Macaca fascicularis: one gene and its partners. The protein of the gene in region 2 interacts with the protein of the main gene of each other region in a biochemical or structural test. Links are inferred from orthologs where the notes say so. Each region holds a gene or a part of one and is shown on either strand. Other genes may lie near its edges. The genes, in order: RAB31, OCRL and RAB8A.

What was found.
Region 1: the proteins of OCRL (region 2) and RAB31 form a complex in vitro, tested with the Homo sapiens proteins (2 studies listed by BioGRID and IntAct, with this or other methods). The link is inferred for Macaca fascicularis from reciprocal best matches to the Homo sapiens genes OCRL and RAB31.
Region 3: the proteins of OCRL (region 2) and RAB8A form a complex in vitro, tested with the Homo sapiens proteins (2 studies listed by BioGRID and IntAct, with this or other methods). The link is inferred for Macaca fascicularis from reciprocal best matches to the Homo sapiens genes OCRL and RAB8A.

Annotation. Positions count from the first base shown.
Region 1 is NC_088392.1:78,162,802-78,171,923, reverse strand, and holds part of RAB31 (ras-related protein Rab-31), read right to left. Parts: intron 7,490-9,122; coding exon 7,418-7,489; intron 6,392-7,417; coding exon 6,285-6,391; intron 1-6,284. UniProt on the Homo sapiens protein: The small GTPases Rab are key regulators of intracellular membrane trafficking, from the formation of transport vesicles to their fusion with membranes.
Region 2 is NC_088395.1:135,857,880-135,868,793, reverse strand, and holds the end of OCRL (inositol polyphosphate 5-phosphatase OCRL), read right to left. Parts: intron 9,907-10,914; coding exon 9,790-9,906; intron 8,727-9,789; coding exon 8,642-8,726; intron 8,019-8,641; coding exon 7,891-8,018; intron 7,088-7,890; coding exon 6,976-7,087; intron 6,787-6,975; coding exon 6,662-6,786; 3' UTR 4,385-6,661; downstream 1-4,384. UniProt on the Homo sapiens protein: Catalyzes the hydrolysis of the 5-position phosphate of phosphatidylinositol 4,5-bisphosphate (PtdIns(4,5)P2) and phosphatidylinositol-3,4,5-bisphosphate (PtdIns(3,4,5)P3), with the greatest catalytic activity towards PtdIns(4,5)P2.
Region 3 is NC_088393.1:16,422,481-16,434,133, reverse strand, and holds the start of RAB8A (ras-related protein Rab-8A), read right to left. Parts: upstream 6,365-11,653; 5' UTR 6,346-6,364; coding exon 6,222-6,345; intron 1-6,221. UniProt on the Homo sapiens protein: The small GTPases Rab are key regulators of intracellular membrane trafficking, from the formation of transport vesicles to their fusion with membranes.

The DNA of each region.
Region 1 (9,122 bases), on a different chromosome or scaffold from region 2:
TTCCCCAGGACACACCATATACTAAGCCATAAAACAAGCCTCAGTAAATGTAAAATAATTAAAATCATACAAAGTATGTTTCAGATTACAATGGAATTAAATTAGAAATGATGAAAAGTCAAAATTTGGGAATTGCACAAATATGTGGAGATTAAACAATATGCTATTAAATAAATAACGGGTTAGAACACAAATTAGAAAATATTTTAAGATTAGTTAAAAACAACATATCAAAACCTATGAGATGCAGCTAGAGCAGTGCTTACAGGAAAATTTATAACTATAAATGCCTACATTCAAAAAGATCTCAAATAAATATGCTAACCTTTCTCCTTAGCGAACTAGAAAAAGAGGAACAAAGCAAATCTGAAGCAAACAGGAGGAAGGAAATAACAATTAGAGGATAAAGAAATGAAAGAGAAAAACAATGAAAAGAAATAACTAAAAACCACTGGTTCTTTGAAAAGGTCAACAAAACTGACAAACTATTGGCTAGACTGAATGAGAAAAAAAGAGAGAAGTTTCAAACTTCTAAAATTAGGAATGGAAAAGGAGACATCACTACTGACCTTACACAAATTAGAAGGATTATTTAAATGGTCGTGGGATTAAGAAAAAAAGATTATAAGAGAATACTATGAACTACACAGCAAATTAGATAACACTTAAAGAATTGACATCATACAAACTAGACAATTTGTGCATTAGTAAAATAATACCTGCAATTTAAAGATATAAAGTTTGTTTAAATTAATGAGTTTTAAAATGAAACAAAAAACCTAATTGGTCATTTGGGAGGGTATTATAGAATCATTTCATTACTTTAAAACCTTCTAAATACAGAATATATCAAACATTTTCCTTCCCTTTCATACTCTTTCATATACACTGTACCTCAGTATAATTAAATATTGTAGTTGATTTGAGGAAGTTTCTCTATGGATGCACTGCATGCAACAAATGAAGAAGGAAAGACAGAATTTGAATGTCACCATTTTGCTAACCATAATCACTTAATAGATTACCAACAGTTAGACTCTGACCAAGTCTAAATCTAACAATTTATTTAAAGGGCATAGGGGAAAAAGTTAAATAACACCGTTAGGAAACAACAAGGAAAATTCAGACTTCATAAAGCTGTGTAGGAGAGATGAATCTGTTTATTCAACAAATCAATTTCAAAGGGAAAAAAGGCAGGGTAGGGGTAACCCATGGACTAAAAGATTGACATGTAACTGCCATTCATTGCAACGTATAGACTCCATTTTTCCGGATTCAAACAAAGTGCATTTTAACACTGTATAGTTGATATTAAGGAACCATTTAATTTTTTACATGTTATCATATAGTATTGTCATGTGTTTTAAAACACAATGCTTATCTTTCAAAAAATAAATCTAATATAAAATTTAAAAAAAGAATTGACATCATGGAGACCAGGTTGATGTAGAGAAACAAAAAGAAATGACATCAATCCTTCACAAACTCTTCTAGAAAACAGAGGAGGTGGGAACTCTTACCAACTCATTCTATAGGACTGTTATTGCCCTGATACCAATGCTAGACAAAGATATTGTAAGAAATGGAAACTACAGACTAATATCCTTTAAGAATATAGACATAAAAATCCTTAACAAAACACTAGCAAACTAAACCCAGCAATGTATAAAAAGGATTATGCATCATGACCAAGTGTGATTTATCCCAGGAATGCAAGACTAGTTTAACATCCAAAAATCAATTAACATGTAATTACATATGCAAAAATTGTTTTGGAAAAAATCCAACATTCGATCATGACAAAAAACCTTCAACAAACTAGGAACAGAAGGAAACTTCTTCAACAGAATAAAAAGGATATATGTAAAACCAGGTAGTGTGATACTTACTGGAGAAAGACTAAATGCTTTATCCCTAAGATCAGGAAGAAACAAGAATGTGCACTCTCATTACTTTTACTCCAGATTGTTTTAGAGATTCCAGCCAGAGAAATTGGTCAAGAAAAAGAACTAAAAGGCACCCATATCGGAAAGAAAGAAGTAAAATAGTCTTTATTCCCAGATAATATAATCTCATATATAGATAACTCCAGATAATTTACTAAAAAACAACTAAAATTAATAAACGAGTTCAGGAAAGTTATAGGATACAAGATAAACATACAAAAGTCAATTGTATTTCTACACACTAACCAAAAGCAATGCCATAAATAAGAAAACAATCCCATTCACAATACCATCAAAAAATATCAAATACTTAAGAATAAATAAAACAAATGCAAGACTTGTAAACTGAAAGCTATAAAACGTTGCTAAAAGAAATTAAAGAAGACGTAATAAAATGAAAAGACATTTCACATTGATGGATGGGAAGACTTAAAATTGTTAAGATGGGATTAACACTTGAATTGGTCTAAAGACTCAACATAATTTCTATTAAAATCAAAGTTCCCTTTTGTTTCTCAGAAATTAAGAAATAGATCCTAAAATTCATATGAAAATGTTAAGGGTCCAGAATAGTCAAACAATCTTGAAAAAGAGAACAAAGTTGAAGGACTCACAATTTTTAATTTCAAACTTACTACAAAGCTACAGCAATCAAAATAGTATAACACTAGTGTCAGGACAGATGTGTAGATCAACTAATAAAGTTAAGAGGATAAAAAATAAGACCACATTCGTGGTTGACTAGTTTTAGACAAAAGTACCCCAAAAGATTCAATGGGAGAGAAACTATCTCTTCAACAACTGGTGTGGGGGTAATTAGATATCCACATGGAAAAAGATTAATTTGGACCCCTATCTTACATTACATACAAAAAGTAACTCAACATGGATGACAGACCTAAATGTAAGCACTAAGAAAACATGAATAAATATTTGTGATGTCCATTTAGCCAATCACTTGTGAACAAGAGATAAAAGAAAAACATGATAAGCTGGACATAAACTTTTGCACACAGTAAAAATTGTGAAAAGACAATCCACAGAATGAGAGGAAATATTTGCAAATTATATGTTTGATAAGAGACTTTTATTCAGAGTACATAAAGAACCCTTACAACTCAATAATAAAAAGACAATCCAACTAAAAATTAGGCAAAGGACTTGAAGAGACATTTCTCCAAAGAAGATATACAAATGGCCAATAAACATATGAAAAGATATTTACTATAACATTATTAGTCATTAGGAAAACCACAATGACACAATCTCACACCCCCTGGGATGCCTATAATCAAAAAGGCAATAAATGTTGGTGAGGATATGGATATCTTGCAGTTACTTTGGAAAACAGTTTATGAGTTCCTAAAATTATTAAAAAGAGTTATCATATGACACAGAAATGCCACTCCTAGGTACATAGCCTAGAGAGATGACAACATACATCCACACAAAATTTGTACATGATTGTTCATAGAAACATTTTTCATAATAGCAAAAAGGTAGAAGCAATTCAAATGTTAATGTGTAAATGAATAAATAAAATGTGGTATATCCATACAATGAAATACCATTCAGTCATAAAAATGAATGCATCACTGACACATGCTTAACTGAAAGAAGGTGGTCACAAAAGACCACATATTGTATGATTCCATTTATGCAAAATGTCCAGAAAAAGCAAATTTAGGGGAACAAAAAGGTAGATTAGTGATTACCAGGACTGGAAGGAGTTGGAAATTGAGAGTGAGTATAAATGGGCATGACGTTCTTCACAGAGTGACGGAAATGTTCTAAAATTAGATATGAGATGATTGTACAACTCTAAAAATACACTAACAGTCATTGAACGGTACACTTAAAACAGGTGATCGTGATGTTTTGTAATTTACCTCAATACAACATATTAAATGTCTAAAAATTTACAATGAATTAGTGTCCAACTAGTCTTTCTCACTGACCTAATCAGAGTTTTAAAGGCAGTCAGCTTCTTGTTGCCTGATTCAATAACGCGTACCATCTAAAATAACTGTGTATAACAAAAGATATACATGCCACACTTTAAAACACAACTACAGGATCTCAAGGAGCCACATTCAGACCTCACTGAGGCCAGACAAGAGGAGAAAAGATATTACCAAGGAGGCTGGATGCATGGGACAGTGGCCCCATGACACCACCACTACAGGTAGCAGCTGGATGGCCCTGCATTTTCTCCCACTGGGATAGAGAGGCTGTAAGTTAATTCACAGTTGGAAGTGAGATGAATAGATTATGTTAGCTGGGGCACATTGAAAATTGCACATATAAGAATCAGCTGAGCACAAATCAGAACGCTCATCAAGAAGAATGCTGTACCTGTGCATAAAAGGTGAATTCCACCCCGAAACACAGCGTATCCTTGAGTGCTGGTAGCCACATCTATATGTCACAGATAAGTTTTGTCTGGCCAGGCTACACTTTTCTAGGAGCTATCCCTCTTCAAGACCACCTGCCTTCCCATTCTCATAGTAATGTTGGGAAATACCATCTCGTACTACCAATCCCCTCCTGGCCACACACGCCTGTTCTTAACGTGGGGAGTTCCTCCCTGGCATTTTAGACTGGAAATGAAGACAATGCCAGGCCAGCATCTCTCCAGAGACTAACTCTGGAACATGTCAAATGCCAGAGCTGAGGGCAGTTCTGTTTTTACCATGTGGATAACAGTACCTTCCAATAATTCCCCTTTCTCCTGAATTTCAATTGTGTTTTGGATCCACGTAACCAAGAATCCTAACTGATACTATGCAAGTTTAAATCGTTCTCTGCTTAAATTCTAGTCCATCAGCATTCCCACGATACACAAAACTTGGTTCCACTCAAAGGTGCACATTAGTCCCATAATTAGGGGGTTTTAGAGATAGCACCTTCTCTCAGCAAAGGTTGTCTCTACACACCCACCTCATCCTTCCCATGACCAAGGTTAAGGTGATTCTGCTGGGAACACTAGACAAGCAAGCTGTTTGAGGTTTACAGTAAAGGAGGTGGATATCTGAACTAAGTCTGGGAAGTCTGAAGATCTGTCCAAATCCCAGAAAAATAAACGATTAAGTGGTGTTTATGGCTGTTATTATAAACCAACCAGATGCAAGGTGATACAAACTTTTGAAATCCCAAAGAAACAGAACAATTTGTTAAATGCTATGTTAAGAGCTTTTGCAAGATCCATTTCCATCGACTATTTATTTCGCTTTGGTTTAATCACATTTTGATCAGCAAAACCAGAAGTATGATGTAGTTGTCTTTATAAAAATCAGCTACTAGAATTCCTGAGAATTAAATTAACCGAGAGAATGGAGATACCACAAATTCACTATTTCCTTTTTTAAATAATGTATTTATTTAGTAAAATAGCTAGCTTACCAGGCTAGGCAAAGCTATCATCAAATCTCTAATTCATGTGTACTGGATCCCCACAACCTCCTTTCAGATACGGGAAGTTCAATAACCCAGTACCACTGGGGGAAGTCAAGGTACTCACATACAATGTGTCATATTCTGATTTAAGAACAAAATAGTGAGATTACGTACTTGACTATATTCTTAAGGTAAAATCTAGAACTAAAACAAACAGGTATGCCATGAAAAATTTTAAGAATTCTAATGGTCATTACGATAGGGATGACCATTACCATAGTGTTACTAAAATTGTGCTAGTAGTCATAATGATAATAAAAATGGAAAAAGTAACAATAGAAATAATAAAACCGTTTAGCCCAAAGATATGTAGAGTCAGGGATGTAACTGTGTTATGTACAGGAATTATAATTTTAACATTTATCATTGTATGGTACAACAGATTTGCATTTCCCTATCATTTTCCCTTATTTCTTCTCTGGTTGAATCAATGACACGTTGACTACCACAAGTGAAAGGCCATTAACTATTACACTGAGGGCAGACATAACAAAGGCATGATACCTTTGTACACTCAGGGATGACATTCAGGGATGGAGGATAATATCTACACAAAAGGGCCGGGCGCGGTGGCTCAAGCCTGTAATCCCAGCACTTTGGGAGGCCGAGGCGGGCGGATCACAAGGTCAGGAGATCGAGACCACAGTGAAACCCCGTCTCTACTAAAAATACAAAAAATTAGCCGGGCGCGGTGGCGGGCGCCTGTAGTCCTAGCTACTCAGGAGGCTGAGGCAGGAGAATGGTGTGAACCCAGGAGGTGGAGCTTGCAGTGAGCCGAGATCGTGCCACTGCACTCCAGCCTGGGCAACAGTGTGAGACTCTGTCTCAAAAAAAAAAAAAAAAAAAAAATATCTACACAAAAGATATTAAAATGCGTCTTACCTAATATCTGAGAGGTCGCACTTGTTTCCAGCGATGGCCATTACAATGTTTTCCGGACCATGTTCTTTCAGCTCCTTGACCCATTTCTTCAAGGTATAAAATGAATCCTAAACCAACAGTATACACAAATCATTAGAAAAACCCCTCAATATAATATTTCAACCAAGCAGAAATACAAGCCCAGTACAATTTAATGGAGAAAAATATTTTTAGGAGACTCATGCAGATTAACATACTACCTCTGTCTAGGCACAAAAGTTAATGTTAGCTGAAATACACTTTAATAGACCATGTAAAGTTTTCTAAAATTAAAACTTGATCTAGTTAAGAAAATCATATCAGTGATTTTTCTCCTATAAATAATGTTAACTTAAAATGATTGCCTGGACTCCGCATGAATAAGAATAACAGGACTAAGTAAATGCTCATGCTTACACCAAGAAAGAATCATATATCTCTAGAGTCCTGTCTTCCTGTTGGCCCTTCACTCACAATTGTCCTCTAGAAAACAGGTCAAAGGCAACACACCACATTTAGGTAGAAGTGGTCAGGAACTCGTGGAAGGTAACAGTGATGGGTCATTAAACTGATGGTCTTATGTGCTGAGTCAACACTCCAGAGAAAAAAAGCAAATAATTCAATTTGCAGGAGTGGGAAAAAATGTCATCAAACTACTGCAGTTATTTGTTGATGGAAGTATAAAACCTTCAACATTATAACTAAAAATATATAATATGTACACAAACACACAAAGATTTACTTACACGCACACAAATGTTATGCTTGGCATTTTAAGTAAGTAGTATGATTGAAACACTAATAAAAATAAGTATTCTGTAATTATAAAGCATGCAGAAATTAAAAACGATTTTCCTTTTCTTTAAAAGCTGACATTCTGCAGAATAGTACTAGCAGGCATGACTTTGCCTCTACAGTCAATTTTAAGAATGAATGGTCATTGTTGTTTAATTTAGCAGATAAATATGGGATGCTTTGTTACATATACACGAAATAAACTCAATATATAGTGGCACGCTACTGGGAAGACGCAAGCAGTGACGTCTTTGCTTCAGTCTCTCTAAGAGAGAGAACCACCATAAATGACATCTAAATTCTGAAGGAGACAGTCTTACCTGCTTGGTAATATCATACACGATAACAGCTGCAGCTGAGCCTCGATAGTACATGGGAGCCAATGAATGAAACTGTTTAAGAACAATGAACAGTTTTAGGCCAAAGTGAACAGACTTTATTCAATCCCAAATTAAACATAAAAGTTTTATCCTACATCATCCCTATAGGATCCCTAAATTCCTTCCCCATCTAATTTTTCCAGGGTTCATGTTATTCTTTATTTTATTTTATTTTTTTGAGATGGAGTTTCACTCTTGTCACTCAGACTAGAGTGCAATGGCATAATCTTGGCTCACTGCAACCTCCACCTCCTGGGTTCAAGCGATTCTTGTGCCTTGACCTCCGGAGTAGCCAGGATTACAGGCATGCGCCACCACATCTGGATCATTTTTCTATTTTTATTAGAGACAGAGTTTCACCATGCTGGCCAGGCTGGTCTCAAACTCCTGACCTCAGGTGATCCACCTGCCTCGGCCTCCCAAAGTGCTGGTAATTACAGGTGTGAGCCACTACGCCTAGCCCCAGGGTTCATATTAAATAAGACATTTTCCTCCTCATCAACACATATATATACTTGTGGCTTACTGACCATGAAATCTACTCTTGGGTAAAAGCCAAAAACAAATTTTATTTTAAATGTTACCATCTTGTGAATGTTCTTTTCTCTGCTGCTCATCATTTCTCCAATATGACTGACCGACCCAGGGCAATCTCATTAGAATTATGTAGCAGTAAAGGAAAGAAGTATGGCAAGGAGAGGGAAAGGGAACACTAGCAAAGATCACAGGACCCTTGCTGAGCCGTTAATGAAGACCAATCAGCAAGGGCAGCTTTGGCAGCAGCTGCTTCGGGTCTGGAGGGCTGCCACCTCTCCAACGTGGGGCTTCCTCACCTACCTAAGGTCCACAAATGACAAGACAGCAGAGGAGCTCCATTCCAAAATGTTAACAAAGCAAGTGCCGCTGGTCACTAGCATCGTTCATCCCCAGACAGGGGAGCTCATTAGTCTCAGAATGCATGCACTTCATATGTATTTTGGAGAAGGGTCCAGTCTTAATCTGCATTTTTTTTTAAATTAAAAAGTATCCTGGAGGGGCCGAGTGTGGTGGCTCACGCCTGTAATCCCAATACTTGGGAGGCTGAGGCAAGCAGGATCACCTGAAGTCAGGAGTTTGAGACCAGCCTGGCCAATATCATGAAACCCCGTCTTTACTAAAAATACAAAAATTAGCTGGGCGTGGCAGATGCCTGTAATCTCAGCTACTCGGGAGGCTGAGGCAGGAGGAACGCTAGAACCCGGGGGACAGAGGTTGCAGTGAGCTAAGATTGCAAAACTGCACGCCAGCCTGGAAGACAGAGTGAGACTCAATCTCAAAAAAAAAAAAAAGTATCCTGGAGGGGTTTTGAAAGTCAGTAAGAAAAAGATGGCTTAATAGAAAAATGGACAAAGACATAGATATAGGTAAATCACAGAAGACATAAATTGCCAATAAATATTTTAAAACATGTTCAATTAGAATTGGAGGAACACCAGTAAAAATAAGGAGACACTTATAAATGATTACATCGTAAAAAGATGTGTGATGTTCAGTGTTGGTGTAGGTTTCAGAAGGGAGGCACACATACTCTGTATGGAATGTGCTGAATATCTTCTTTCAGAGCAACTGTTGGTAACATAATCAAAAGTTGAAATGTGTGTCCCAT
Region 2 (10,914 bases):
TCTGTTTTCTCACCCATAAAAGTGGGATAATGGCCGGGCACGGTGGCTCATACCTGTAATCCCAGCACTTTGGGAGGCCAAGACGGGTGGATCACAAGGTCAGGAGTTCAAGACCAGCCTGGCCAAGATGGTGACACCCTGTCACTACTAAAAATACAAAACTTAGCCGGGCCCTGTCACTACTAAAAATATAAAACTTAGCCAGACGTGGTGGCACATGCCTGTAATCCCAGCTACTCGGGAGGCTGAGGCAGGAGAATCGCTTGAACCCGGGAGGCGGAGGTTGCAGTGAGCCAAGATTACGCTACTGCACTCCAGCCTGGGTGACAGAGCTAGACTCTGTCTCAAAAATAAAATAAAATAAAATAAAAAGGTGGGATAATGTAGTACTTTATCAGCCTATTGTAAAGGCTAAAGTGATATTAAATGTATTAGTACCTGGGATAAATGACAGCTAGGGTTATTAGTTATTATTACTCTTTCTAAAGTTAGGAGAAGGAGCATACAGAAGTCACGTCGCTTCCCTGAGTAAAGGCAGCCATGGCCTCCTGTGGTGTCGAATGAAATGCAAGCTCCTGCCCGAGGTTCCTCAGGCCCTCTGTGACCACGTTCCTGCTCGCCTGTTGTCCAGCAAGTCCTGTTCCTCACGGAGTTCTGCCTGGCTGTCCCCTGAGCACAGCCAGCTGTTTTGCTGCCTCAGGGCCTTTGCATTTGTCTTTTCCTTTGCTCCGAATGTCTTTTGCCAGATCTTGCACGTGTGGCTCTTTTTGTGGGTATTCAAATCAAGATATGGTGCCTTGGCTTCCTGAGGTTTAAGTCTCAGCTAAAACATCACCTCCTCAAAGCAACTTTTCCTGACCAAGGCCCCCCGCTGTACCCTCAAGTGCATCCCCCTGTTTGATACTCTCCACAGTACTTGTCAGGATCTGTAGTGACCTTGGGTACTGTTAATTTGCATATCTGTCCACCCTCATCCCTGCCCTGCCCTGCCCTCTTGATGAAGGCACCATGAGAGCGGCAACCTTATCTGGTTTACTTCTAGATCCTCAGCACCTTGAACAGCATGGGGCACACAGGAGCCACTCAACAAATACTTGTTAAATGAATAACCCATACTGAGATGTAAGAGGAGGGGTGATGGTTGAGGGGGAAAAGTCCAGAGAGGGTGGAGGAGAAGGGCTCAAAAGTGCAGGTGGAGGAGCTGGTCTTGGCGAGGAAGACCGCTTATTTCTCAGACAGATGGAAAGAGGGAGAGATGAAGTTAAGCTGGAGACATTTTGATGTGCAGGGGGCAAGACTGTTTCGACATTTTCACAAAGCAAAGGGTACAGTCATCTGCTGGGAGCTGAAGGGCAGCAGAAGTGGGTTCTGGGCCTGGAAGTCAATGGAGGGCTTGGGAATAACTCCACTAGCTGCCATTTATTTAGCACTTAGGCACCAGGCACTGTTCCAAGGCCTGGAAATGTATAACTGATCTCATCCTCATGATGATACTACGAGGAAAGGTGCTATCATTACTTTTAAGATGTGGATACACCTTCAATACATACAATTTTTCTTCTCAATTATACCCAATAAAGCTGGGGAGAAAAGACATGGAAACCAAGGCACAGAAACGTCAATTAACTTTTGATCAGGGTCACATATCTAGGAAGTGGCAGAGCTGGGATTTGAACTCAGGCAGTCTGGTCATTGGAGCCTATGTGAAGAACCACTATAGTTTTCTGCCTCCCTAGGCCCCGTGGAACAGGTACGTGAGGTCATCAAGAGAGGAAGAGGAAGATTGTGGAAGAGTACATGGCAAGTCCAGGGGCAGTCAGCCAGAACGTTGTACCAGAAAGCCCAGGAATGAGGGCAGAGAGTCAATGGGACAGGGTGGGTGACTTATGGTTAGGCACAGCAAAGATGGGGACTGAGGCAAGAGAGAGAGAGGAAGGAGTTTTCTGGGTAAACAGCACATGCAAAGGCCCTGAGGTTAGAAAGAGTTCAGCTCACCGGGAGGGGTAAAAGGACAGTATCAGAGTATAGTGGCAGGGGTGAGGAAGGCTTATGGTAGGCAGAGGTCAGATCCTTTAGGGTGGTATTCCTCAAAGTGTGGTCCAAGCACCCCTGCATCAAAATGCTCTTGGGTCCTGATTTAGAATGCAGACTCTGTGCCTTATCTCAGACCAACTTACTCAGAGTTTCTGGAGTCTAGGAATCTGCTTTTTAACAATGTCTCCAGGTGATTCTTCTGCACATGAGTATTTGAGACCCACTGATGCAGGGCCTGGTGGGCCACAGGGAAGCTTAGGTTTCATTGTAAATGTCACTGAAGGGTTATCCACAGGGAAGGGATGAGACTGATGTAATTAAGTCATGCTGCCTGCTGCGTGGAGAATGGATTGGAGGGCAGAAAAGCTAAAAGGAAGACCAGGCAGGGCATGGTGGCTCATGCCTCTAATTCCAGCACTTTGTGAAGCCAAAGTGGGAGGACTGCTTGAGCCCAGGAGTTTGAGACCAGCCTGGGGAACACAGGGAGAACCCACCTCTACAATTTTTTTTTTAATTAGCCAGGCTTGGTAATGTGCACCTATAGTCCCAGCTACTCGGAGGCTGAGGTGGGAGGATCGCTTGAACCTGGGAAGTCAGGCTGCTCAAGTGAGCCGATCATGCCACTGCACTCCAGCCGAGGCAACAGAGTAAGACCCTCTCTTAAAAAAAAAAAAAAAAAAAAAAAAGAGAAAAAGAAGACCAGGCAGGAAGCCATTACAACACCCTCGTAATGGTGGTGGCCTTGACCAATAAAATCGGCAGTGGGGGTGATGAAAAGTAGATGTGTGGGGCACGCTGCTGACGTGGTCAGTCAGTAGGAAACAGAGAAATCAAGGCTAGCTCCTAGATGCTTAGCCCTAGCAACTGGCCAGATGGTGGTGACATTCTCTGAGCTGAGGGGAGACAGCTAGAGGATCTAAGTTGGGTGGTAGTAAAAGAACCAGAAGTAAAATAATTCTACTTTGGAAATGTGAAGCTTGACATGCCTGTGATACATGTGAGGGGAGATGCCAGCTAACTAACTGGATATACTGGGCAGGAACTCGGAAGAGAGCTATGAGGTGGAAACGTAACATTTGGAATCAGGGTATTACAGATATTTACAGCCACGGAAATTGATAAGATGCCACCAAAGGAATTAATGGGCAAGCAGAGTAGAACTGTTTGAAAAAAAAAAAATGCCACTATGCCATGCAGTGTCACTAACCTAAGTAATCTTAGGTCAGTCATTGTCCCCTCTGAGACTTTCCCTATCCAAACAATGAGATCAGATTAGGTCATCACTAAGGTTCTCTCCCTAACATTTAGTGATGCCACTGTTGTAATGTGTGGCTTTTACATTATGAGGCTACACCAAGAGCCAGTTCTTCAACTTGCACTGCAATCAGAAAGGCCCTACTGGGTCTCCTATAACAGAAGCCTAGCAGCTGGGGATGCCATTTCCTCTCTAACCTCTGGAAAGATAGACCACCATGCCTGCTATTCACATTGCCTGCTGCTATGTAAAAACTTCTGGTGTCAGTGTCCATCTGCTGGGGGGAAAATCACTCTCAGAAAGAAACACCTTCTCCTGCCAAGGCTTTGGGTGGGGCTTCAAAAGTTGTTTATGACAACACTGAGTCAGCACATTAAGCAGGGTCAAGCTCACAGCTGGAGGGAATTGGAAGAGGGCCTTAGTAGAGAAGAAACCTCCAGCTGTGGCTTCTTCAGCCTCAAAGGGAATGGAATCAGAATCCACCAATTCATAATGGAGACTGGCACCATGCTCAAATCAGGGGTTTCCTCCCAACATGTTAGACAGTTCAGATGAGAACAACAAAAAAGTACTAAATTTATGGACTTGATCACCCCAATAAGTCATAAAAGTTCAAAACTGGTTTTCAAAAGCTGCAAAATAAGATTATGTTAAAACAGGCTCTCTGGGGAGGCACATCTTGAGACTATGTGAGCAGGGGTAACTGGGTTCTCCCCAGATGTGCATCTTAGGGTTTGTCAGGTTTCTGGGGCTGGAGGGATCACAGATCTGACCTAGTGTGACATTTACATGCATTAAGAGTCAACGTCCTTTCCTCTAATTCAGTTGTTTTGTTGCCTGAATCCTTAGGGTTAAAATAAGGGTACTTGGCTGGCCTCTGAAAGTATAGGACGCCTTTATTAGCCTCTGAAAATGCATGGTTTCTTCTCATCTCTGAGGGTGAATATACCAAGAATTCTTATAAATGGTATTTCCCTGTAAGACAGGTAATGACAGTACAGGCACAGCTGATGGGGACTGCAGTCAAGTCGAATGGAACCCAGTGACACATAAGCCCTCCCTCCTGAGTGCTTCCTCACCAAAATCACACTTTGCTTTTTCACACAACATATATTTATTCAGAAAAAAATTTGCAATAAATTATAATAAAAAAGATGACACGAAATATAGAATCCCACTAGCAGCTTTGCTTAGTGATCAAGACTTTTTGGGAAATCTAACAAACAATTATAGAATAAGAAAACAGTGAAAGGGAGACTAACGCAATGTCACCACATGGATTTAAACCATTTCTTCCCTAAGACAGCAGGTGCAGAGTCTTTCCCTACCAGTTGAATCTGAAATCATTACTTCAGAGCAGCTACAAATTAGTACCTTAGAGGACTTGGGAATTACAGGTGGGGTGTTGCAATAGGCATGGTAGGGAAGCAGATTTCTTCCGTCTGGGTCTACGTCTTGTCTCCTCTACCTAGAGATTGTCTAAAATTCTCAACCCTGTATATGTTCCAGGATGAGGTGTAAAAAGGTCGAGGCAGTACACCAACTTAGTGTTTTGACCTGATGTAGAAAGAGATAGGATACTGCATACGTGCAGCACAGAGCCTCCACTAACCACACCCTTGATCACCCAAAGATCCCAGGTCAATGATATGCTAGAAAACAAGCCCAGGAAAGGTATTTCCCTAGGGTATGATCCTACCCCAGTGTCTATTATCTGCCTCTTTTTGTGGTCACTTTCTGGCCTTGCGGAGATGACAAACCTGTTCTGCTCTCAGTCTTCCATTAACTAAGTTCAACACCCAGCCCCTGACCTATCATACCTCCAGCTCTGTCGCACCAGTAACTTGACTCCTACTGCTTTAACTCTCAATCAGGAAAGCGTTTAGCCGTATTGCAAAATACGTACTTTTTTTTTTTTTTTTTCAAGAAATGGGGGAAATCACTGGTGGTGCCTTGGATATGCTAGAAATGTCATGGAGTCAATGCCCAGGATCGTACATAGAGCCTGTACGTTATGTTCCTTGCAATTAACGTAAACAGGCAAGGGTGGTTGTAACAAAAGAAAACCAGGAGGAAACCAATTGCATCAGGCAGTTTTGCAGTCAGTGGTTGGTGGCTCATCAACCAATATAGATTAATTTTTTTAAAAAAGGCTGTATCACAGAGTTTGAATAAATGAAAAGCTCAGAGGGTCATCTTGGATGGGAGAGGTAAGGTGCTTGGTTGGTCCTATTGGCCAATCTCTTTACACAACACTGGATATGGTCTGGGAGCCAAGGGGAGCCTCTAAACCCTTTACGTGCAGGAGCTGGTTGTAGAGCACAGAGTCAGTCCCGCTGAGGAAGGAGGTAACACCTGCCCTTGGTACTTCAGAAGACCAGAAAACGGATTCTAAGGGTCATCCGCAATACCTTTGCTGTGGGAAGGATCAATAGCTCTAGATGGGCCTGCCTGAGGTACAAGACTCCCTCTTTTACTGTGGGGCCAGTGTTGCTCTGGAGGTGGATGTCTAGGCAGGAGATGGGTCTCAGAGACACCCAGGATTAGTCTTTCTGTAAAATTTGAGTAACAACAGGAAAAGGATAGTGGGAAGCAGGACCTGTCAAACACGAATGCTCTCACTCTTCAGATACTCAAAGTGCTTCCATTCTGATTGTGATTCTCTCACATCGATGGGATGCCATCTCTAATAGTCCCTAAAGTTATGCTACTAAATGTGATCTAAGAGAATATGGTTCCACCCAGTGCGGAGCCATGAAAAGGCCAATGTTACAGAGACATGAAGATGCCATTGTAGTAGAAATGCACAAATGCATGTAATAACTGCACGCAGACAGTGAACTCACTGTTGAGGACACCCAAGGAGTCACTAGCCTCACTCAGACTTCGTTCAAAGTGACAGAACGAGGGGAGTGGAGTGCAAAGGAGTGATCCGGGAAGGGGTGGGTCAAAAGTGCATTATACAAAGGACTCTAGACAAGTCTCAGCTACAGCAAGTAGTGCTTGTAGGCCTAGAATGGGAACATCTCAGAATCTAGGCCTAGGGTACTAAGGACAATCATGACAATTGGATAGGAGGGCAACAAACACATCCCTAGGTAAAGGAGTGTAAATACAGATCTTTTTGCCTTATAAAGAGAAAACACAAAAACACCAAAATATGGTAACTTTGGCTTGGCAATATAAGTCTAAAAGTATTTTGCTGTGGAGGATATGGTAAAGGAGGGATTAGGAAACACTCTTCCTTTTTACTATAAACAGAACTTGAAATTCTGCAATAGACCCTTCCTGTGGCATGACTTTTAAAATCATTCTGAAATACTTGGAGCCCGAGATCGTCTGCTTCTAGAATATCAGAGAATAGTAAAAGCCTTAGTCTTCTTCGCTCCCAAGCAGAAAGCCCAGAAGGAACTGAATAGCACGCTGGCGGTCACTTGGAGTCTGTCTTGCCATAAGGTTGGGTGGAGGCCTCAGGAGAAGACTAGTGAAGAGAGTAGCTAGAAGACGACAGAAAGACAAGCGGAAACTTTTGTCAGACATAACCTAAGCAAAACCTCAGGGCAGGAGGGCCTGGGGACAATGACTGTTGACTGCCATGTGCCTGCACACGCAGTAAGGTATATACTGGATACAATGCATGAAGAGTATTCTCAACAAATGCCCCATGCTGCATGAAGCACTCTTACCGATCATGTTGGCATTGACGCTATTGTATTCAGAGAATTTTAAGAGTTCTCGAAGGAATGCCATCAAGTAACGGAAAACATTTCTATGGCATCTCGGAAGCTGGGAGATCACCTGTTTTTAAAAATAGGGGTAGGCAGTGAGAAAAACAGGTGGAAGATGAAAGTAAGAGGAACTTACAGCTGCCATTAATAGTAGTCTATAATCCAACTCTTGCAGGACCCGTTTCATCTATCAACTTCTATTATCTCCTCATGGCCAACACAACACCTTCCAAATTATAACTTCAAAGTAAGAACGGCCGTGCTGTTTGGTCCCCGTCCACTCAATGACCAGGCCACATGGTCATCACACATTCACACGCACACCCCGCCTCACAATAGGTCGGTGTTCATCTGCTCTTTTCCCATTTCCGCAGGCATGTAGCCACGGCACCTACCAAGCTGAATGGTTTTCTTTACAATGTCACTTAACATGGATGGGGACTCCTCCCAATACTCACTAGTCCAATTCACAGGTACTCTCAGTTACTGTGCATTAAAATCATTTCAGGATTAAAAACACACACCAAGAAGAGAAAAAGAAGAAAGGCTCCCAAGTGTCACCCATCCTTCCTGGTAATGTCAGCCAGAATTCCATGTACAATCAGCTTCACCAATTTACCCTAGAGTAGAGGGATCCACCCCACTGTTTTCTGTAAACAGAAATAGGCCAATGGGGAAAAGGTGGCAAATATCATAGGAAATAACACAACCTAAAATTTAAGGGTAGCAACCCTCAATGTTCGTGTCCTGCCACTAATAACAGATCCAGACCCATCCTACCAGACAGCTGGCTGCCTATCTGGCTCTGTAAAACTGATGACTTCTCTATGGGGGAACCTGCGTCAAACACATCCTCAGGTCAGTGGAACCCACCTGTCGGCAGATCCGGGGATCATGAGCAGAGTCAAGACATCGCTGATACAGCTCGTAACAGATGACTGGCTCTGGCAGGGCTTCCAAGAAAATGAGCAGTGCTTCAGCCACAGAGTGGTTGCTGCCAGCTGAATCAACTTAAGTCAAGGGAAAGGGGCTCCAGGAGAAAGGCCACACAGAGCCCCGACGGGCTCCTTTCCTCAAGCTCCTGCAGGGACTGTTTCCTTCCTCTTATTTGGGGCACACTGATCCTAATGGGGGCTTGATATTTTATTGATTCAAGTGCCCTGCAGCTGAGTTGTTACAGAATTGGTCAAAGACTCTTGGCAGCTTTGGCCCAGCTTCAGGGTCAGGGGAATATAGCCTGCAGAGTGACAGTTGACACTGAAGCAGTCCTATAAACCAGTTGCCCATGTTTCCCATCCTTCTCCCTGCCCTGTCAACAGTACGTGTGGTGGCAGGAGTGACTGATCACCTGAAGGAGAATAGTACCAGCGTTGTGGCTTCTATGTCCCATGCTTTTTAAGTCATTGTTATCTACCCCTTGCTTCCTTTTAGTAAGAGCTGGATATGGAAAGAGGTCAAAAGTTCATAAAAGGAAATGAGAAACAAGTGGATAGTCAGTGGTTATCCTACAATAAAAGACATTACAAAGAAAATAAATATAGAACCACAAAAAGCAAATAGAGGTGCGAAGAAGAGTTTGACCAAGCACTCATCCAGCTTCTTATGCTTTGGTCGCAAAGGATACGGATTGTCTCAGGAATGCTGGTATCCAGACAATCAATGATCTGCTGGAGTTCTTCCTGCATTCCAGGGGTCTGGAACAGGTCCTCCTACCAAAGAAGTCAGAATGAAGGGAACAGGCAAGATAATCACTCCTGAGGTTATGATGATTACCCAAGGATCAGAAGAGCAGCAGGAAGCAAAAGGGAAGGGTGGTATGTGTGTTAATAATTACAAATGGAGGTGTGAAAATAGCACATTTTTCCTTTAGCATTTCTCTAATCCATGTGAAATGTTATTTCAAATAAGAAAATGTTCTTTCCAAAGGTTTTAGCCTACACCTGATAAGGCAGGGGACCAGATGGCTAGAGCAAGAAACCAGGTGTTCTAATTCTAGCCTCTTTTTAAATTTTTTTTTAATAGAGATGGGGTTTCACCATGTTGCCCAGGCTAGTCTCGAACTCCTGAGCTCAAGCAATGTGCCTGTCTTGGCCTCCCAAAATGCTGGGATTACAGGCATGAGCCACCGTGCCTGGCCTACTTGCAGCCTCTTGACAAGGAGCAGAAGGCAGAGTCCAAACAGAATAACCACATTCAAATGCTAGTACTACTGAACGCTGGGGAAGGAGGAAATTGCATGCTCATACTAAACCTTGCTTTCAAGTTACATTATTCTTCAGTAGGTAAGAGAACATTACCTTTCAATTTAGTCCCAAGAAATGTCTCTTTTGGGGGTGAATGAGTTGGGGTGGCATTTTAGATAGGATTTAAAAGAAAAACTAGGACCAAGTTAAAAAATGGGTTTAAAATCTGCTTTAGATTTAAAAATCTCTAATGCCTACATGACTCATAGCCAAAGTAGGCATTATAGACTCAGGTGTGCAGCTGTCCAGGGAAAACGAGAGAGTAGCCAGGAGACAGGTGCTCTTAATTTGGTCCTGGCTCTGCCACGACTACACTTAGGCCTTGGTCTTAGTAAATAACTTAGCTTTGCATGCTTCAGCTGTGACATCTGTGACCAGGGACACTTCCACCCACCCAGTTGATCTGACAGTGCCACTGTGTGCAGGTAGCTTGGGAAAGTTAAAAGCGCTATGCTGATGCGAGGTGTTATGATTTCCTATAGTATTTACACACCTTCCAAAGTTGTAGGGAAGGTCTACTCTCACTTACCTGGTGACAGGCATATTTGAATAGGTGATCTACTAGAAGCCAGATCTCCTTGGGGACCTGAAGGGGTCTCTCACTGGCACCTTCATCCAAAGGAACCATTTGCAGAAGGGATTTCTCCTAATAGATGGAAAAGGATGAGAATCAAAGGGGTCTCAGAATAGAGATTTTGGTGTATAACTTAAAGTCCTTCAAATTCTGGTCATGCAGGTACAATGTGATCTTCATCTCTTAAGATTTTCCATTTCTTCTCAGTGGGGACACCCCTGGTCAGAAGGCACTTGATAGCGAGTCCCACAGTTAAAGGATGTCCTTTCCTAAATGCTTCACTTAATTGTTCTGCATTTCATTTGAGTTTATGATGTTTATTACATGGATGCCTTGTGTTTAAATCCTTTCAAAGGTGACACTGAGAACCAGTGCTCCAGTGATACAGTCACAGTGGAGTCCATACAGCACTGGTGACTTGGGGGGACTATTAAATTACAATTGTCAATATAGTACTTTGAGAGATCAGGGTCTACACTTAGGTATTTGTTTATTTCTAACTTACTCTTCCTTCAGGTCTTACCACAGATACTGTTGTTTGTTTTCAATGTTGATTTAAATGAGCTTCTTTGGTTTTCAGGAATTAAAGAGAACTCTCCACAACATTAGACCCACATATGTAAATATTTCAGGCTTGATGGAAGTTCTAATCTTAAGGCACTAAAACTCATAAGCCTTAAGGTCCAAAAATAGTAAACTGAATATAGCTAACCAAGAGGCAGAAATACCATGAAAAGTCTAAGGTCTGAGTCCAGAAGTTACATTTTCTAGGAATAGCTCAGTCAAGATTTCTAGGGGCTTTTACTCCTTTCATCTATCTTTCTACTATCTGTTATATTCTTCTGAAAGAATTTTGTAAGAGAAAAACCCAGAAGTGGCATAAATTAAATCAAAACTATATGTGAATTGGAAATGGCTAGGAAATAAATTCAGTTATCTTAGGTTCATGTAGTCAAATATAAATTACATGAAAAAATGTTTGAAATAGTAAAGGCATCTGAACGTAGCCTTCAGAAAAATCCCAGTGGAGAGAACTATGACCAAATTTTTTGCATCCTCCTCCCTCCCCCGCCTCTAGCT
Region 3 (11,653 bases), on a different chromosome or scaffold from region 2:
GGCAGTTGTACAGAGTGGGTCTCAGCAGAGCCCTCTGCAGGCCTGAGTCCCTCGCTCCCCACCACCCTGCAGCTGACCCCCAAGCACACAGGGCCTTGGGTCCCACGATGCGTCCATGCACATGGTCAGTTTCTCTCTTGCCCCCAGCTTTTGTACACGCTGTTCCTTTTCTGCAGGTGGTCTGTGTCCCACCTGCCCATCACCTGGGCAAAATTCCCCTCCTTTAAGGCCTCCTTGAAGATCACCTCCTAACAAGCCTTCCTGACCCCATCCTCCTTGTCTCTCACCTCCTGCTTTCATCCCCTTTCCCCATGGTGACCTTGCAGCCACCTTGATGTTCCCCAGGCTCCCACTGTTCCCCCTCAGTCCCCTCCCTAGCCTTCAAAAATACAGCCCTAACCACGTTACACAGCTAACCTCTGCTCCAAACTTTCTTTCTTTCTTCTTTTTTTTGAGACGGAGTCTCGCTCTGTCACCCAGGCCAGAGTGCAGTGGCACGATCTCGGCTCACTGCAGCCTCCGTCTTCCGGGTTCAAGTGATTCTCCTGCCTCAGCCTCCCGAGTAGCTGGGACTACAGGTGCCCACCACAATGCCCGGCCAAGTTTTGAATTTTTAGTAGAGATGGGGTTTCACCGTGTTGGCCAGGCTGGTCTCGAACTCCTGACCTCAAATGATTCGCCTGCCTCGGCCTCCCAAAGTGCTGGGATTACAGGCATCAGCCACCGCACCCGGCCCTCTGCTCCAAACTTTCTAGTGTGTCCACCAACAGATGAATGGATGAACAAAATGTGGTCCAACCATACAACGGAATACGACTCAGTCATAAAAAGGAACGGAGTACTCTCGATGCTACACAATGTGGATGAGCCTTGAAGATAGGATGCTGAGAGAAGCCAGACACTAAAGGTCACTTAGTATGAGATTCCATTAACAGACATGTCCAGAATAGGCTCATCCATAGGAACAGAAAGCTGATTAGCAGTTGTCTGGGGCTGGGGGAACATGGGGAAATTGGAAGGGTTGGTGTCTTTATTTTATTTTTTATTTTTTGAAACGGAGTTTCTCTGTCACCAGGCTGACGTGCAGTGATGCGATCTCGGCTCACTGCAACCTATGTCTCCCGGGTTCAAGTGATTCTCCTGCCTCAGCCTCCCAAGTAGCTGGGACTACAGGCATGAGCCACCATGCCCAGCTAATTTTTCTATTTTTAGTAGAGACAGGGTTTCACCATGTTGGCCAGGCTGTTCTCGATCTCTTGATCTCGTGATCTGCCCACCTTGGCCTTCCAAAGTACTGGGATTACAGGTGTGAGCCACTGTGACACCGTGCGTGTCTGGCCTTGGGTTGGTGTCTTTTTGGCATAATAAAAATGTTCCCAAATTGCCTGTGGTGATGGTTGTGGAACTCTGTGAATGGATCTAAAGCCACTGAATTGTACACTGCAAATGGGTGAACTGTATGTTAGTATGCGAATTCTACCTCATAAAGCGGGGTTTTTTTTTTTTTTTTTTTTTTTTAAGGCATCTTTCAGTGGTTTCCCTGCCCCACTTCCCTTGAATAAAGTGGAAACAGGTACCCGTGTGTGTCGAGGTCCTGCCTAATCTGGTCACCTCTCAGCACTCTGGCTCATGACCTGCTCGCTCCGGCCACACCATCCACACAGCGATTTCCCTCAACATTCCAAGCACGCTCCTGTCTGGGGGCTTTGATGTTTGCTCTTTCCTGCCCTGGAAAGTTCTTTCCTTCTGTAGCTACCTGGCTATCCCTTCGTTCAGGTTCCCATTCAAGTTCCCTCCGCAGGGGAGCCTTCCTGACCATCCTCATCCGTTCTCCCTTTACCTATTTGTTAACATAGCTGACATACATTTATGTATCTCCTGCATGGACCTGGGCATAATGCTTGCAGATCATACTGGCCCATGTGGATGAGAGAAACAGCCAGACCCAGCCTTTGCCACCAGGGGTTTGGTCAAATCCCTGCCGGAGAAGACTCGAGGCCCAGGCCTGGCTGGGCCTCTCTGAACCCAGGTTGGGAATGCTAATTCTGTCCAGTCAGCTTCAGCACTGGAATTTCGCCGTCTCAAACGTAAGCTCCCTGGGGGCAGGTATCTGACAAGTCTCATCCGCTGCTATTACCTCCAGTGACTGAACACACAGAGGCTGAATATGCATTTGCTAGAAGCTGGTACCCCAGTCCTGCAGGCACCTTAACTCACTTGTGTCCTCTCTGCAGCCCTCGTGCCAAAGCGGCTGCCTGGCCCACAGAAGGCACTGGCAAAATATGGCTGGATCAAAGAATTAAAGCGCAACAGGGTCTACGTGGTGTTGAGTGGTTCACAAAGCACTTTCTCAAATGTCAACCCTCTCACTGGAGGAATGAATGGACTCCTGAGGAGGCAGTGGCGCCGAGCCAGTCTGGTGAGAACCCATTCCAGGGAACTACAGGGCCAAGTTCACACCAGAAATAATCGATGGGACTTCTGAGAATAGGCTTTGATGAAATGGAACTTTTGGCAAAATGTTAAGGATTGAGTGGCAGAAAATGAACAGCCACTCAATCTTCGTCTATAAAGAAAAACCCAGAGGTGCCCGCAGCCAATATAGAATCACCTTTTTTTTTTTTTTTTTTTGGAGACAGAGTTTTGCTCTGTTGCCCAGGCTGGAGTGCAGTGGCACGATCTTGGCTCACTGCAACCTCTGCCTCCTGGATTCAAGCGATTCTCCTGCCTCAGTCTCCCGAGTACCTGGGAATACAGGCAAGCGCCACCACGTCTGGCTAATTTATGGAATCACCTTTAAGCATCAAGGTGATTCTGCTTCAGGACTAGACAGCCCAGTGTGCCTAGGCTTCCTAAAACATTCCCCACTTCCTGTCACGCGTGTACAGGGACACACAAAATCGAGGAGCACTGCTAGGCTGGCCAAGTTCCACAGCAGCACTCCGCCCTACACTCCTCTGGGTTTTATTAACATGCCAAATTTAATTACGAAGTGTAAACTTTATGAGGCCTAAGAATTATGAGGCCTGAACTTCAAGGTCATGGTGAATTAGAAATTCCTAGAAGAGGCCGGGCGCGGTGGCTCAAGCCTGTAATCCCAGCACTTTGGGAGGCCGAGACGGGCAGATCACGAGGTCAGGAGATCGAGACCATCCTGGCTAACACAGTGAAACCCCGTCTCTACTAAAAAATACAAAAAACTAGCCGGGCGAGGTGGCGGGCACCTGTAGTCCCAACTACTTGGGAGGCTGAGGCAGGAGAATGGCGTGAACCCGGGAGGCGGAGCTTGCAGTGAGCTGAGATCCGGCCACTGCACTCCAGCCCGGGCGGCAGAGACTCCGTCTCAAAAAAAAAAAAAAAAAAAAGAAATTCCTAGAAGACAGAAGGCTACAAATGGAAGGAGGGGAATGAAGGGGTGAGAGGGAGGGATCCTGGGGTCAGGTGCCACCTTCACCTTGCTAGGTAACTTTCACCAAGTCACATCCTCATCTGCAAATGGAAGACAGCCTCTTTAAAGCTCAAAGTAACTCTAAAGAGGGGGGGTCTGGGCTGGGCGCAGTGGCTCATGCTTGTAATGCCAGCACTTTGGGAGGCCAAGGTGGGCGGATCATGAGGTCAGGAGTTCGAGACCAGCCTGGCCAACGTGGTGAAACCCTGTCTCTACTAAAAAAAAAAAAAAAATACAAAAATTAGCTGGGCATGGTGGTGGGCACTTGTAATCCCAGGTACTCAGGAGGCTGAAACAGGAGAATTGCTGGAACCTGGGAGGCGGAGGTTGTAGCGAGCCGAGATTATGCCACTGCACTCCAGACTGGGTGACAGAGCGAGACTCCATCTCAAAAAAAAAGAGGGGGGGTTTGTGGGGAAGGTGCTGAGGCCGGGAAACTGGGATCTGAGTGAAGGCAAGCCACAGTCTGCCCACAGTTAACATAATTTCTTTCTTTCTTTCTTTTAAGATAGGGTCTCGCTCTGTTGCCCAGGCTGGAGTGCAGTGGCGCCATCACAGCTCACTGCACCTTGACCTCCTGGGCTCAATCAATCCTCCCATCTTGGCCTCCCAAGTGGCTGGGTCTATACGGGTAAGCCAGTATGCCCGGCTAATTTTATTTTATTTTTTATAGAGATGGGGTTTTGCTATGTTGCCCAGGCTGAATTAACGCCACTTCTTGATCGGTTGGGGCACAAGAGTTACCCTAAAGTTTGGCCTTGGAGTTGGGGAGGGGGAAGAATTCAGAACCATCTGTCTTCAGAGGCTGGATGCTGTCACTGCAGGAGCCATTCATTCATTTGCTTCTTCGAGATGGCCTCTGGTTACGGTGATAACCCCTTATTGTCTAATTCTAATCCTCAACCACCAGGGCACTAGCCCAGGAGACAGCGTCACTCCTGCTCTAAAGACAGCAGGGCTCAGAGAGGGGCAGTGTATGTTCAAGGGCAAACAGCAATTGGAAACCAGACGTAACGATTTCCAGTCAGTTCTCTCTACTTTACATCAGGCATATAACTGTTTTATAAAGCACAGCTATCCTGGGTGCAGTGGCTTATGCTTGTAATCCCAGCACTTCGGGAGGCCAAGGTAGGTGGATCACAAGGTCATGAGTTTGAGACCAGCCTGACCAACATAGTGAAACTCATATTTACTAAAAATACAAAAATTAGCTGGACGTGGTGGCGGGTGCCTATAGTCCCAGCTACTAGAGAGGCTGAGGCAGGAGAATTGCTTAAACCCGAGAGGCGGAGGTTGCAGTGACCCGAGATAGCACCACTGGATTCCAGCCTGGGCAAAACAGCTAGACTCCATCTCAAAAAATAAAATAAAATAAAATAAAATAAAATAGAATAAAATAAAATAAAATAAAAAAAGCACAGCTCCTGGAGGGGGGCAAGAATGGAATCAGCACATTATCGTGGGGTTCAGGGAGAAAACATGATTCTGTTGAAGTGACACAGTAAAGCAAAGGCCATTCCCTACGTTTTCGTGACTTGGAATAAACTCCTTAGTGACCGTTCCCCCATTTTCCCCATCCCTAGCAGGGCTACAGAGCTCCCAGGCCACTCAGACTGGTGTTACTCCCCGGTCTAACCTTTTCATTGTGGGCCAGGACTGCTTTTGTGGCACTGAGAGAGGTCAGTTCCACTTCTGCAGACGGCACAACTGAGATGCACCAAGCCAATTCTGTTCAACCACAATGTGGGCTGGCCCTACGGGAAAAGCTGTTCTAAAGTGACAACCGGAGTCTTGGGCCCTTTGATAGGGAAGTCAAGGCTGTCTGTGGCAGTGGCTGATTTAGTTGCTCGCTGAGGCTTTTATCTTGCATCTTCTTGCAGATGACAGGTTCCAGGGCAGGCAGTGCTGTCACTTGTCATTATTGTCATCCTGGAGCAGGATGAAATGTGGGCAGGGAAAAGGTCCTGACTCCTCTTATCATTCCTTCTAGAGGAAAATACACTTATGAGGGGAAGAATGGTCAGGGAGAGGGGTTCAACTTCTGAATGCTCCAGAGAAAAGAGCAGGAATGGTGTGGGTTACAGTTCCGGCTCCAAGGTGCATTAGCTGAGCTTGTCATCAGCTGGGAGTGTGAGGTGGCATCTCTCTAGGATAGCTAAGCCTCGAGTTTTGGGTTGAGACACAGCCAGGTTCAAATTCCATCAAATCCCATTCTCACCACCTGCAGACTGTGTGGCCTTGGGCAAGTTCCAGGCCCACCCTGAGCCTCAAATTCCTCATCTGTGAGACGGGCTCAAAACAGCACTTAACACCGAGAACTGGAGAGTGTGAAAATGCACGGGAAGCACTTGGCACATAGTAAATGCTCATTAAGGTGAGATGTTACCGTCTTTTTCCCATGGCCAATTCCCCATGACTCAGTTTCCACTTCTGTAAGGCAGGAGCCTCAAAAGAACCGCTTTGAGGGCTGCTGCTAGGACAGATCGAGAGGACGGGCGCGAAGACCCCAGCCCAGGACATAACACTCCCTAACGAGCGGGCTGAGGGTCGGAGCCTCAGTCTCCCCATCTGCAAAATGGGCACCTGGTCTCCCCCACCACGGCCCAGGAACCCCCGAACGGCGGTACAGGCGACTGCTCTTCTCCCCTTAGGCCCCCTCGACCCTCTCAGCGCCCTCGGCCAGTCCAGCCCGGTAGATCCCTCAGCCCCAGCCCCTCAGGGGCGCGCCCAGCCCGGGCCTCTGGCGCCCCCAGCCACTCCCCGGTCCCGCTACCTATGGTGGAGATAAAAGTGGAGTTGAAGGCGTCCTCGGAGAAGCGGAACAGGACACAGGTCTTCCCCACCCCCGAGTCCCCGATCAGCAGCAGCTTGAACAGGTAATCGTAGGTCTTCGCCATATTACACTCTCTCCCCGACGGGAAGTGCGGCCAGCGCCTCTCCACTGGCCACCAGCACCGTCCATCAGCGCCGAGCCCGCCCCTTATTGGCTCCAGGCCCGCTGCGCGTCACCGCGGCCGACGCCCGCCCCTGCGTCCCGCCAGTCGCGGGGAGACCTGGGGAGGGGGCGAATGGAGCGCGGAGCCGGAAGCAGCCCGAGCGCACCTCCCATTGGCCGGCACTAGGGAGAGGACGGGCTCTGATTGACCAGCAGTGAAGAGTCGTGGGGCTTCAAATGGGGACGAGGCGGGGGCGTGGCATTATGTGGCCCCCGCCTTCCACCCCCTACTCGGGCGGCCCGGCCCCGCCCCACTACAGGAGAGGGAACGCAGGGAGCGTCGCCAACGGCTCGCGCGCCGGCAGCCTGGGGGGCGGGGCTTGGGGTGCGTGCTCACGCGCGCCCGGAGTTCCGTTAGGCGACGGCAGAGGGCGCAATCCTGTACTTGGGGCGGGTATCTCTGGGTCCCGCCGTCACAACTCGCGCAGGCGCAATAGGCCCCGAGGCGAGCGCGGGAAACCATGGTAGCGCTCTCAACCTGATCTGCGGCCTCCGAGTCGGGGCAGCGGGGGCCGACGGAGGAAGGAGAGAGGAGACACTGTATACTCGAAAAGTGACCCGGGCCGGGCGCGGTGGCTGAAATCCCAGAACTTTGGGAGGCCTAGGCGCGTGGATCACGAGGTCAGGAGTTCAAGACCAGCCTGGCCAAGATGGTGAAACCCCATTTCTACTAAAAATACAAAAATTAGCCGGGCGTGGTGGTGGGCGCCTGTAATCCCAGCTACTTGGGAGGCTGAGGCAGAGAATTGCTTGAATCTGGGAGGCGGAGGTTGCAGTGAGCCGAGATCGCGCCTTTGCACTCAAGCCTGGGCGACAGAGCAAGACTCCATCTCAAAAATAAATAAATAAATAAAAGTGACTCAAGACGAGTTCCGAGGTCTGCGGCCTAGCGACCTGCTTACAGATACCCAAGGCCTCCGCCACCTGAGCGGCTTCACCGCCACAAGCTGTGCCCCGAAGCGCGCGCCGGCCTCCTCAGGGTCCGCCCTCGGCCGCTTTAGGAGTTGTCCGGGCCAGCCCGGGGGGTTTAGAACAGTGAGGATGCTTTAGAACAGTGAGGATGCTTGTTCCTATCTAGGGGCCAGGACTCTCAACACTGAAAAAACAGGCCGGGGCTGTGGCTGCCACCTGTGATCCCAGTGCTTTGGGAGGCCAGGAGTTTGAGGCTGCAGTAAGCGGTGATCGTCCCACTGCACTCCAGCATGGACGACAGAGCGAGAAGCCTCTCAAAAAAAGAAAAAGGCCGGGCGCGGTGGCTCACGCCTGTAATCTCAGCACTTTGGGAGGCCAAGGCGGTCGGATCACGAGGTCAGGAGATCGAGACCATCCTGGCTAACGGTGAAATCCCATCTCTACTAAAAATACAAAAAAGCCGGGTGTAGTGGCGGGTACCTGTAGTCCCAGCTACTCGGAAGGCTGAGGCAGGAGAATGGCGTGAACCCGGGAGGCGGAGCTTTCAGTGAGCCAAGATCGTGCCACTGCACTCCAGCCTGGGCAACAGAACAAAACTCCGTCTCAAAAAAATGAAAAAGAAAAAGAAAAGAAAAAGAGGAGAGATACATTAGGAAAATCGGGCTTGCAGCTGGGTGTGGTTGCTCAGGCCTGTAATCCCAGCACTTTGGGAGGCTGAGGCAGGAGGATTGTTTGAGCTCAGGAGGTCGAGACCAGCCTGGACAATATAGGGAGACCCCCATCTCTACAACAAATAAAATTAGCTGGGCGTGATTAGCACGCTTGTAATCCCAGCACTTTGGGAGGCTGAGGTGGAGGTTCACTGGAGGCCAGGAGGTGGAGACCAGCCTGGGCTAAACATAGCAAGACCCCCATCTCTGCAAAAAAAAAAAAAAAAGTTTTTTGGCCAGTCGAGGGGGTTCACACCTGTAATCCCAGCACTTTGGGAGGCCAAGGTGGGCAGATCACTTGAGGTCAGGAGTTCGAGACCAGCCTGGCCAACATGGTGAAACACCGTCTCTACTAAAAATTCAGAAACTAGGTGGATGTGGTCGTGCACACCTGTAGTCCCAGCTACTCCAGCGGCTGAGGCACAAGAATCGCTTGAATCCGGGAGGCAGAGGTTGTAGTGAGCCGAGATTATGTCACTGCATTCCAGTGTGGGTGACAGAGCAAGGCTCCGTCTCAAAAAAACAAAAAAAAATTTTTTTTAAATTATCCGGGTATGGTGGTATATGCTTGTAGTCCCAGCTACTCAGGAGGCTAAGGTGGGAGGATCCCTTGAGCCTAGGAGGTCAAGGCAGCAGTGAGCTGTGATCGCACCATTGCACTCTAGCCTGGGCGACGGAGCAAGACCCTGACATTTTTTTTTTTTTGAGATGGAGTCTCCCATGATCGCCAGGGCTGGAGTGCAATGGCGCGATCTCGGCTCACTGCAACCTCTGCCTCCCGGGTTCAGGCGATTCTCCTGCCTCAACCTCCCAAGTAGCTTGGATTCTAGGCACCCGCCACCGCGCCTGGCGTGGTGTATTTTTTTGTATTTTTGGTAGAGATGGGATTTCACTGTGTTGGCCAGGCTGGTCTCGAACTCCTGACCTCGTGATCTGCCTGCCTCCACCTCCCAAAGTACTGGGATTACAAGCGTTAGCCCCCCTGCCTGGCCCCTGACTCTTAAAATTTTAATCCCAGTACCAGCCCAGCAAAATGATGTTATTGGTTTTTTCTTGTTTGATGGTCAGAAAACTGAAGCCAGGAGGTTAAATGACTTTTTCCCCCTTCCCGCTTAAAAGTGGGAATTTGGTATCTGAACTCAGAATGCCAAGCTTCCCAGGCTGCAGTTTGATCACTAGGGCTCGCTGCTTCTTAGAGATGGTCCAGTCTGTTTTAGGTCACTCTGGGGCCTCCGGGGCCTTGAGGCTCACTTAATCTGTGGAAGGAGGGTCCAGCTTTTCCTCCTCCCTTCCACTTCAGCTCATTCTTCTGCTAATCTAGCTCTGGTTAAGAAAAGCTTCAACCAGAGACACTGACCACTTTACATGCCTCAGCCTCTGTGGTATTTAATATTCTTGACCACCTCTGAATATTCTTTTTTCTTGGTATTATCCTCATTTTATTTACTTATTTTTGAGACAGGGTCTTGTTCTGTGACCCAGGCTGGAGAGTGATGGTGTGATTTCATTCACTGCAACCTCCGCCTCCCAGGCTCAAGTGATTCTCCCACCTCAGCCTCCAGAGTAGCAGGAACCACTGGCATGCACCACCACGCATGGCTAATTTTTGTTTATTTTTTGTAGAGATGGGGTCTTGCTATGTTACCCAGGCTGGTCTGGAATTCCTGGGCTCAAGCCATCCTCTCACCTCAGCCTCCCAAGTAGCTGGGACTACATCTGCATGCTACCATGGCTGGCTAATTTTTTAATTTTTTGTAGAAATGGGGTCTCCCTATGTTGCTCAGGCTGGTCTCAAACTCCTGGGCTCAAGCGATCCTCCAGCCTCCACCTCCCAAAAAGCTGGGATCACAGGTATGAGCCACCATGCCTGGCCCTATACCATTTTTTTTTTTTTTTTTTGAGATGGAGTTTCACTCTTGTTGCCCAGGCTGGAGTGCAGTGGCGCAATCTCGGCTCACTGCAACCTCTGCCTCCCGGGTTCAAGCAATTCTCCTGTCTCAGCCTCCTGAGTAGCTGGGATTACAGGTGCCCGCCACCACGTCTGGCTGATTTTTGTAGTTTTAGTAGAGACATGGTTTCACCATGTTGGCCAGGCTGGTCTCGAACTCCTGACTTCAAGTGATCCACCTATCTCGGTGCTAGGATTACAGGCGTGAGCCACTGCACCTGGCCTTTTTTTTTCTTTTTTTCTTTTCTTTTTTTTTTTTTTTGAGACGGAGTCTCACTCTGCCACCCAGGCCGGAGTGCAGTGATGTGATCTCGGCTCACTGCAACCTCCGCCTCCTGAGTTCAAGCAATTCTCATGCCGTAGCCTCCCAAGTAGCTGGGACTACAGGTGCACGCCACCAAATGCCCAGCTAATTTTTGTATTTTTAGTAGAGACGGGGGTTCACCATGTTGGCCAGGCTGGTCTCCAACTCCTGACTTCAAGTGATCCCCCCAAAGTGCTGGGATCACAGGCATGAGCCACTGTGCCCGGCCCTGTCCCTATTTTATTTACTGGTTTCTTCTCCCTGCCACCTCTGCCTCTGCCTCCCCTTCTTTGGTTGTTTTTTTTTTTTTTTCTCAGACCCCATTGCAGTCTTTTTGTGGGGAGGTTCTGCTTGTCTCTCAGCGTTTGTGTTCCTTGTTGTTCTGTCTCTGTTCTCACTTTCTAGGGGCTCCTAATGTCTCCTAATGTCTCCATTCTGACCAGTCTTCGTTTTTCATCCTTAGCCCAGCCGTCTCTTCACGTCTACCTGCGTTCTGGACGTCTCCCTTTTGATTTGTGAGATACTCCTGGCTCAGCATGTTCACAACTGAACTCATCAGCTAATACCCAGACTGGCTTGTCCTGATTTTCCTTGGGAGTGAAACTTAAGCCATCTTTGACAGCTGCCTTTCATCTCTTATCTGTCACATTCTGGTTTTTAAGGAGGTTCTAAATAGCTCTTGAGGGCCCGCACGGTGGCTCACGCCTGTAATCCCAGTACTTGGGAGGCCAAGATGGGCGGATCACCTGAGGTTAGAAGTTTGAGACCAGCCTGGCTAACATGGTGAAACCCCGTTTCTACTAAAAATTCAAAAAATTAGCTAGGCATGGTGGGCACCTGTAATTCCAGCTACTCGGGGGGCTGAAGGCAGGAGAATGGCTTGAATCCGGGAGGCAGAGGTAGCAGTGAGCCGAGACTGTGCCACTGTGCTCCAGCCTGGGCGACAGAGCAAGACTCCCTCTCAAAAATAAAACATTAAAAAAAAAATAGCTCTTGAATTGCATTCTTCCATTTCCATTGCCACAGTGGAATCATTGCATTTCTCCACTGGTCTCCCTGAGCATTTTCTCTAATCCAGATTCCACCCTGCAGTGTGCTTATTCTAAAACACTTACTTTAGGCCAGGCATGATGGCTCATGCCTGTAATCCCAGCACTTTGGGAGGCTGAGGCAACCAGGTTACTTGAGGTCGGGCATTTGAGATCAGCCTGGGCAACATCGCAAAACCCTGTCTCTATTAAAAATACAAAAATTAGCTGGGCACACGTCTGTAGTCCCAGATGCTCGGGAGGCGGAGGTGGGAGGACTGCTTGAGCCCAGGAGGTTGAGGTTGCAG